Solanum lycopersicum: one gene and its partner. The protein of the gene in region 1 interacts with the protein of each later gene in a pairwise test. Links are inferred from orthologs where the notes say so. Each region holds a gene or a part of one and is shown in the gene's direction. Other genes may lie near its edges.

Region 1 (3,827 bases):
ATAATGACAGATCTTGTAACTCCTTGTACAGTTATAAATCAGCCAAAATTAATGTTTCTCCTTGCACAAAGAAAGAGACTATTGCTCCTTTAGTTTCTGTTACAAAATGTTTAGATTTTAATATTAGTAATGTACATAGCTACAGTTAGTAGGAATCTTATTTATAGGAACCCCTCTGAATTTCTTTCCTAAGTTAGCCCCAAATGTATTGTATTTATGCTTTGATCATATATTGGAATATAATAAGATCTTCCATTGTATTACATAGTAATAGATGTAGGTCCATGCCCATTTGGGCTCTCGGTGCATGCTCCAGTTGGGCCCGGGTGTGAGCGGGGTGTTAGAGTGAGTTAGACTCCCATATTGTTTGGGGAGTGAACTGATGGACTGCTATTATGGACTCAGGCGATCCTACCTTCATGTGCTAGCTTTTAAAGTTGAGTAAAACCAGGTTTCAAATCTTTAAATGGAAGCCACTGTCTCTGTGTTGCTTGAAGCTTCATGCAGACCAAGAAAGCCCCTCTGTTTTTCTGTCCCTTGCCTGATGCCAAATCTGAAACAGTACTATCCTTCTCCTTTTGTCGCAAGCCCTGCCCTCGAGCCTTTGCCAAAATTTCAAACCCATTTTGATAAGGACTAGTGATAGGCATAGCAAGAGTTTTAGTCTAGAAACCTTACCCTCGTCCTTACCTGAATTGTGAACCATCATGAATTCCTCATTACCAGCTTTGTCAGTACATTAAGAGCTCTCACCCATAGTAATAAGAATCAGGTTACCAGAATAAACTAATGTGGAAGCAAAATTAAAAACATTAACAGCATAAGATGAAAGATATGTGAAATTTGAGATTAAAATCCTTCAAGAAAAGTGCTAAGAACCCTAATTGTTCTTAGTATTCAAAATTAGTGGATTAAAACAAATTATGATAGTTATAGAGTCAGTTCAAGAACTTAGATCAACAGTGACCTTGACCCCTATTTCGAAGAAATTAGGGAGAACTATCAGTATAAGACTAATAACCTTTTTTAATTTACTTTTGAAGAAACCAAAGATATCAAGTTAAGAATTACTCCATATATATAGGGAAAACCTATCCCAAATAGAATGAGATTCAAATATTACTTTTATGGAGATAATTACTAGGAAACTTAAAATTAGGAAACTTTTACACTAGGAAATTTTTAAACTAAGAAGCTTTTAAAATAGGAAATTTTTATGCTCCTACATGTGGAAGTTATTACTTCATACATGTTGAAGTTGGGGCTTGCAACTGTCCCTCTTTAATCTGACCAGTGGTAGCAATTGCTACAATCTCATGTTCTTGCCTGTTCTTACTAGCTCCACCAGATTCAGGAACTGTAGCTAGTGCTTGATCAGTATTGGATGAAACTCCTGGATCAAAGCTAATGTACCCCATCCCCTTGTTGACGCTACCATGATTTACTATTTACGTAGCATTATTACTTGAAATATTCTTCTTGCCCCTCTTGCCATTTAAAATATCCGTAAAATCCACTTGGTGTGCACTTCTTCATAAGCATCTACCTCATCCTTACTTTTAATATTAATTCTGACAATCTGCAATTGTTATCAGTGTGTCCTTGATGTTTACAACTTTTGTAATATGAAGGAAATCAATTTTATACAACTTCTTGCCACACTTCTTAAGTTCACATGCAGCTTCCTCTCTGATGTTGATCCGGCAAAGTTTATAATAAATCGACCTCAACCTGACCCTAGCTACACTAGGCCTCGTTTGACCATTGATTGCTTTATCTACAGTTAACTGTTTTCCAACTGCTGGAGCTATGGGAAACAAAGCTTCTTAGTAAAGAGTTGTACGGGGAGATCAGGAAAAGATATCCAAGCAAGAGAAATGGAGGTTTCCTCTTTTGGATTAAACAAAAGTGTCCATTTTGAATTCTAAATTGATAATTAACATCCCGACTCTCGTCCTTTACCCCAAATATATGTGATAGTCTCGGAATAAACAGAGATAGTCTCCATGAAGAAAAAGCCTTACCAGCATATGCCTTGAATCTGTGAGACCAAATGAGCAGCCTCCTTTAATTCCCAGAAGTCTAGCTTCACGGGGTGGTCATAATTTCTTTCTTTCTCATATATCTCTAAATATATTGGGAAGTTGTGGATTTCTGCTAAACATAAGTAGATCTGATTTATTGTTTGAATTGTTTTAAAACTTTTAACCGTTGCTAATCCCAGAATCTAGGAAAAAGAGAAGTGTAGACGAAGTTTACTCATCAGCAAGGAAAGAAATGGGGATTAGGTTTGTGTTCTGATGTTGTTACTGTAAATTGTACTAGCTGGCTTTGCTGTCATTGTAGGATTATAGTTTCCATGCCCTGGCGCTGCAGGAAAAAATGTGAGACGGAGAAGTTATCTGCAGAAACTACAGTATCTGTTGAAGTTAATTCTGCTTGTTGTGAAGTTCTTCCATCGAGGGAAGGACAATGTTACTCTAATAGACATACTCCATTGCATGGAAAGTGTAAAAGACTGTTTAAATGGCTGCGTCAAAGGAAGCTTAGGCAGTTGAAGGCTCAAGGAACACATTCCTTAAGCCCTTGTATGAGTTTTAACACTAAGGACGAGTCGTTGGGAGATGTGAAGAGTGATGTAATCTTAAATTCAAGACCTCCTCTTGAAAAGGTGATTTATGAAACTTATACTGCTGTTACCGAATTTGATTTTATATCTAGCTTGTGGTCTTTCACACACCATAATATGGCCCTTTTTGCGTGTGATGCATATGCTGATAAGAGATCACTAACTTGTATGATGTTTCAGAATATTGCAGTTGCAGGTTTTCAATCTTATAACCATTAAGTGCATGTGCATTTTATTCTTGTGAAATGATGCAGTTTGATGATTATAGTGCATGTTTAGTAGCTTGATAACTTCTAGGCATTTGAATGATTGAATCCTACTTATCTTTCTTAGGATTGCTAAAGGGTGTGTATTGGGATCAGTCATCCTTAGCCCCATTTTAACAATCAGAAATTTTCTTTTTTGATGAAAAAGGTTAAAGTTTTTACAATCAGCACTCAGGAAGTTCTGCATGTAGATCACAAATATTTCAGCATCTATTTATATCTTCACCCTCATTTTTTTTGGGTTTAATAAAAGGTTTTCCCTTTTTCTTATTAACAGACAAATGCTTGGTGCTCTTGTTGTTCGGTCTTTGACCATCTTTCTGAGGTCAAAAAGGGAATTCTAATCGACAGGCGAACCATGTTGTACAAGTTGGATAGTTGTTCATCAGTACTCCCGTCCGAACGTATCCTTCTACTTTCCCCCCATGCTAATCTGGCTTGATATTATGGTTCACTTCAATTGCTACTAGTCAAAATTAAGAAAGGGATGGAGTTCCACCACTTCTTGTTCACACTTTTTCTGAAACTTTCTGCTTCTTAAGAGCTAAATGGTTTCATTCCCTTTAATTAGAGAGGAGTTTTGCTTCTGTCTTTATTTTTCCATGTCACTCGAGGAAATGGAAGAACTAAAATAGAAACTGATTGTTGTTTCCCTCTGTGCCACCGTTAGGGAAAACTTTGTTGACAAACTTAAGAATACTCAGACATCTTGTATTCCTTGAAGCCAAACTCTACTGGAGCACGTGAACTCTTCAAGGAAATTTTTGGATCCCTTGGTGTTAATGTCTCTACTGAGGTAGCTCCTTGCATGCACAGAAGCAACTGTAATAACATCGCATCCTCGTGTCTGTGAGCAACAGCTTTCCCTTGTTCTTTATTGATAATAATCTATGTTTATTCCTTCTCTTTTAAGTTGTCTTTTTCTTCAAGGA
Region 2 (4,331 bases), about 8.8 Mb from region 1:
TCAATATAAATATTTTTTGGATAAATATTGTGTTAACAAAAGTGTATTTAAATAATGTTACACACTTTAACATTTTCACGAAATATAAAAACTATGTGTTCTCTTGATTTATCGAATTTTTGATCACCAATTGAGTTATTCCAAGAAAAAAATACTGTTTTTTATTTTATGACAAATCCCAAATTCAAATCACTGGCCCACCCCCGAAGGATAAATATTGTTTTTTTTTATTAAAAAGGCTTTCTCAATGTTTAAAAAATATAAATTAAAGTCGAGTTTAATGAATGTATATATTGATTTTCCAGTTACATGAGAGAATCTAACATCATTATCGAATAAAATTGTGAAAATTAAAAATTGACGTATTTTGAATTTATCTTTTTGATAAAGCTTATCTTTCGACGACTTTTCTTTAAAATACTTTATCTCTATTAAAATTAATAATTATGTAAGTAGGTAATCCTTTGTGTTTATGCATATCTTTTTTTTTATATTAAATATAAAGTATAGGACAATCTTAATTTTACTTTTATATTTTGTTACTTATAACTCAATTAGCATCATATTATCAGATTTTTCTAATTGTTAACAGGTTTATATATTAAATTCATTAGATTTTCTAATTATCACAAAATTCTATACGACTATGTATACATGAAATTTGATAAATTAAAAGAGCAATTGAAAAATGCATAATAAGTATAAACTCACACATGCATGCTGCAATAAAATGATCCAGTTATAATTTTGCAAATGTGTACCCCCTGTTTAGACGTTCGTTACTCATTTTATTGTATTGTTAGTTAAAATATAATGCTATTTTTGTTGTTATTTAAATCTTATTATATTGTATTGTTGAAATTATCGTTAGATAACAATGAAAAAACCTATTTTATGAAACAATCAATTTTGTGTGATTGCATCAAAACCTTAATATTTTCTTCTTAATTTGTCTTTGTTAATTATTTAATATCATATTTCATCTTTTACTCTATATTTTTTTTTAATAGATTTATTATGTACTCTATTTTTCTAGTAAATTTATCATTCAAATATTGATTTATAATGTTACATAATGACAGAGGACAAAAAAAATTATTCAAACATTATATTTATTAAAATAGCACTATATATTACGATAGGATACGTAACATCCATCTCATTATGTTATAATAATGTATAAATTTGTCATATAAAATTTATAATAATAATAATAGAGACAGATTAATTATCTCTTTGGTGTGCGCGTGAGAGATAAAAATAAAATAAAATGTATTAATAGGAACTCCCAAAGTGTTAAACAAAGACCAAAAATTAGGCTGTAATTTTCCGTAACGTGTCTTTAAAGCAAAAAACAAGAATACCCAAAGTGAGAATTCTTCAATCTCTAAAAGCTTTTTCTCTTCTTCTCACTTTTCCAGTCTTGTTTGTCTACAGAGAGGGAGAGGGAGAGGCATTGTCCCCTCAATTTCCCACAAAAAAAATGTCTCTTCGACCCAGCAATCGAACTGAAGTTCGCAAGAAATCTTACAAAATTGGGGTTGATGCAGATGAAGCTCGTAGAAGGAGAGAGGACAATTTGGTTGAGATCAGGAAGAATAAGCGAGAAGACAATCTTCTCAAGAAACGCAGAGAGGGTCTTCTTCTTCACTCTCAGCAATTACCCGATGCCACTCAAACCCCTGCTGCTATTGAGAAAAGGGTAATTTTTTCAACTCATTATACCCATTTTTTATATACCCTTTTGAGATTTTTATGGGTTTTGTTTATTTTGTTATTGATCTCAACGATGCGGTGATTCTTGATTTGATTGGTCGATTAAAGTTTGTACTTGTGAAGTGAATTAATCGAAGTCTCTTTCTTTTTTAGAAAAAAATTGTTGTTGCTGAAGTTTGACTACACTTAGTAGTCCACCTTGAGATCCTAATTAATTGTTTGGAAATATTTTTGCGATAAGCAAGAAACACCAGATATTCAACTTTGATTATATCTTTTTTGGCACTGCAGAGAATTAGATGCTGACTTGCTCCGCTAAAAATACCTTTTTCTAAAGATGTGCAGCCTTGGATTACCATTGGGATAGACAAAATGAAATTTTATGCATAACTAATTATTTTGTAATTTGAAAACTCAATTCTTTGGGTGTAAAGAGAGAATGCCAGTTTGTACAGGTTATAAAGACATATGGTGGATGCCACACACAATCACTTGTATATAGTTTTGCACCATCCTAGTAAGAAATGGATAAAAATGTTTCTTCATTTATTAAAAAATGTTAAAAATATTTGCCAAATTTCACTTGGTTGATCAAATTGAGGGAGTGGTAGACCGAGTAGGTTAGTAAGTAGCAGTGATGCTTGGTACCTATGGCTGGTGGAAGGTGGCATGTATCTTGTGAATTAGTTGAGGTGCATGCAAGTTGGTTCGGACACCATGGTTATCAAAAAAAAGGAAAAAAAGAGCATAGCAATGATGTTGGAACTGCACACCGACTAAACTCAGCAAGAGCTTAAAAGGGAACCCATACTTTAGATATAGTGTTCCACAATAATTTTAATTAAATCAACGAAACTACTCCTGGGTAAGTCCTTTGTGATCTCAGATATTCATAATTAGAGCTAACTTTTCTTTTTGTAATTGAGTTCTTATTTTCACCTTTCTTTCACATCTTTATTTGTATATGACATTTTTTGCAAGTGTGAATAAGAAAGTTGAAAATCTTGGGTTAGTATGTCTGTAATTATTTAATGAATAACATGTCTATAATTGATTGTTCCCCAGGTCAATTATGGATATGTTATTCATTTTTTCAATATTCTTATTTCATCCAAAAATGAATAACAGACATGAAAACCGAAAAGCAAAACTCAGTTTGATAATGTTATTCTCTTTGATGAGAAGTGAAGCTCACACTTCAAACAAGGTATGTGCTTCATCAAAATAAATGTCATATGGGTTAGAAAGTGTGGAAGTTTTTCAACATAATTAGGATAAAACTCTTTATATTTAGAAATCCATTAATATGAACCAAGTGATTGCAATTTTGATCCATCCACTGCTTAAAGTGATGCAAAGCAAGAGGTTATATGTGCTTCAGAGGAGTGACCTTTCAAACATGACGAGCAAAGAGTTCCAAATGATAGGCAGTTGATTCTTTGAGTCTCAACTTTAAGGATTTGGATTAATATCACTGTTATTGTATAATGGATGCTGGGATTAGTTATTTTATTTGCAATTTCACTATTATAGTACTATATTCATAGTGTAAACTTTTTTTTAACTTTTTTGTAAATTGTACACTTCACTTCAAAGAAGGGTACACTATCCTTTTCACCTTTTGCTTTAAGCCTTGTGAACCTTGTTGGTTATTTGTGCTTTTCACTTTAAAACATTGTTTTTTAACTTAAGGAAGGTCAAGAACTTAAAATCTGAACATACGAAATAAAAGTTAAAACATTGTTTTTAACTTTCAGTATCAGTACAGCCATGGATTTCAATAGAAAATATAGTTTCAAATTTCAGCAATAGTTCCGCAGCCTAATGAGGAAGTAGGACCAAGGTTTTGTAGAAAGAAGAGATGAGAACAAAAGATGAATGATGCTAGCATCAACACAATCATAAAACCCTTCGGGTTGGCCCAATGGTTTGAGCTTGGGACTTCCATGTTGGAGGCCTCAAGCTTGAAACCCCTTGTTAGCAAGGGGTTTGCCTTCTGGGTTAAGCTCGTCACACCAGGCAAGCCTGATGCAGGTTACCTCTCCTATGTGGTTTGCGAGCTATTGCATAGGAGCGGGGTTTTACCCTGTGCGAACCCGAAAGGCAGCGGTTGCGGGTTTCCCTTGTCATTAAAAAACAATCATGAATGTGAAATTTGATGTGTACAGACAGAAAGAAACAATAGATGCTTTCAAAGCACCTCTTGCCCAACATGAAGTTGTATTTGGAATTTGGAGAACACCCAGCACCCTGTTTTCATTCACTTTATTTTCCCTTTTCAAATTTTACTTTAATTTTTTTTGTTTTATAAAAATGACACCATTTAAATTTTACTTCATTTTTTTAAAGGAAAAGTATTTGCAAACAACCAAATATTATTTGCAAAAATTATAACCAAACAAAACTTCAATTTCAATTTAAAAAATTCCAGATAAAGTGAAAATATTTGTAATAGTATGTAGTAATTCGTATATGAGATCTAATCTATGACCTTATGTGATTATCTATTATGATATATTCAGATTTGATTGTACGTCTCAGTAAAATTAGTCAAGTTGGTGATTTTGCTAGTTTTTAGAAATTTGGGGGTAAAATCATATTTAGAGAAAGTACAT

The links.
Region 2: the proteins of telomerase reverse transcriptase (region 1) and importin subunit alpha-4 interact in a two-hybrid assay, tested with the Arabidopsis thaliana proteins (2 studies listed by BioGRID, with this or other methods). The link is inferred for Solanum lycopersicum from reciprocal best matches to the Arabidopsis thaliana genes TERT and IMPA-4.

What each region holds. Positions count from the first base shown.
Region 1 is NC_090800.1:77,809,162-77,812,988, forward strand, and holds part of telomerase reverse transcriptase, read left to right. Parts: intron 1-2,224; coding exon 2,225-2,288; intron 2,289-2,376; coding exon 2,377-2,671; intron 2,672-3,172; coding exon 3,173-3,299; intron 3,300-3,599; coding exon 3,600-3,744; intron 3,745-3,827. UniProt on the Arabidopsis thaliana protein: Telomerase is a ribonucleoprotein enzyme essential for the replication of chromosome termini in most eukaryotes. It elongates telomeres.
Region 2 is NC_090800.1:86,575,221-86,579,551, reverse strand, and holds the start of importin subunit alpha-4, read left to right. Parts: upstream 1-1,241; 5' UTR 1,242-1,483; coding exon 1,484-1,702; intron 1,703-4,331. UniProt on the Arabidopsis thaliana protein: Binds to conventional NLS motifs and mediates nuclear protein import across the nuclear envelope. Acts as a cellular receptor for the nuclear import of the virD2 protein of Agrobacterium and is essential for Agrobacterium-mediated root transformation.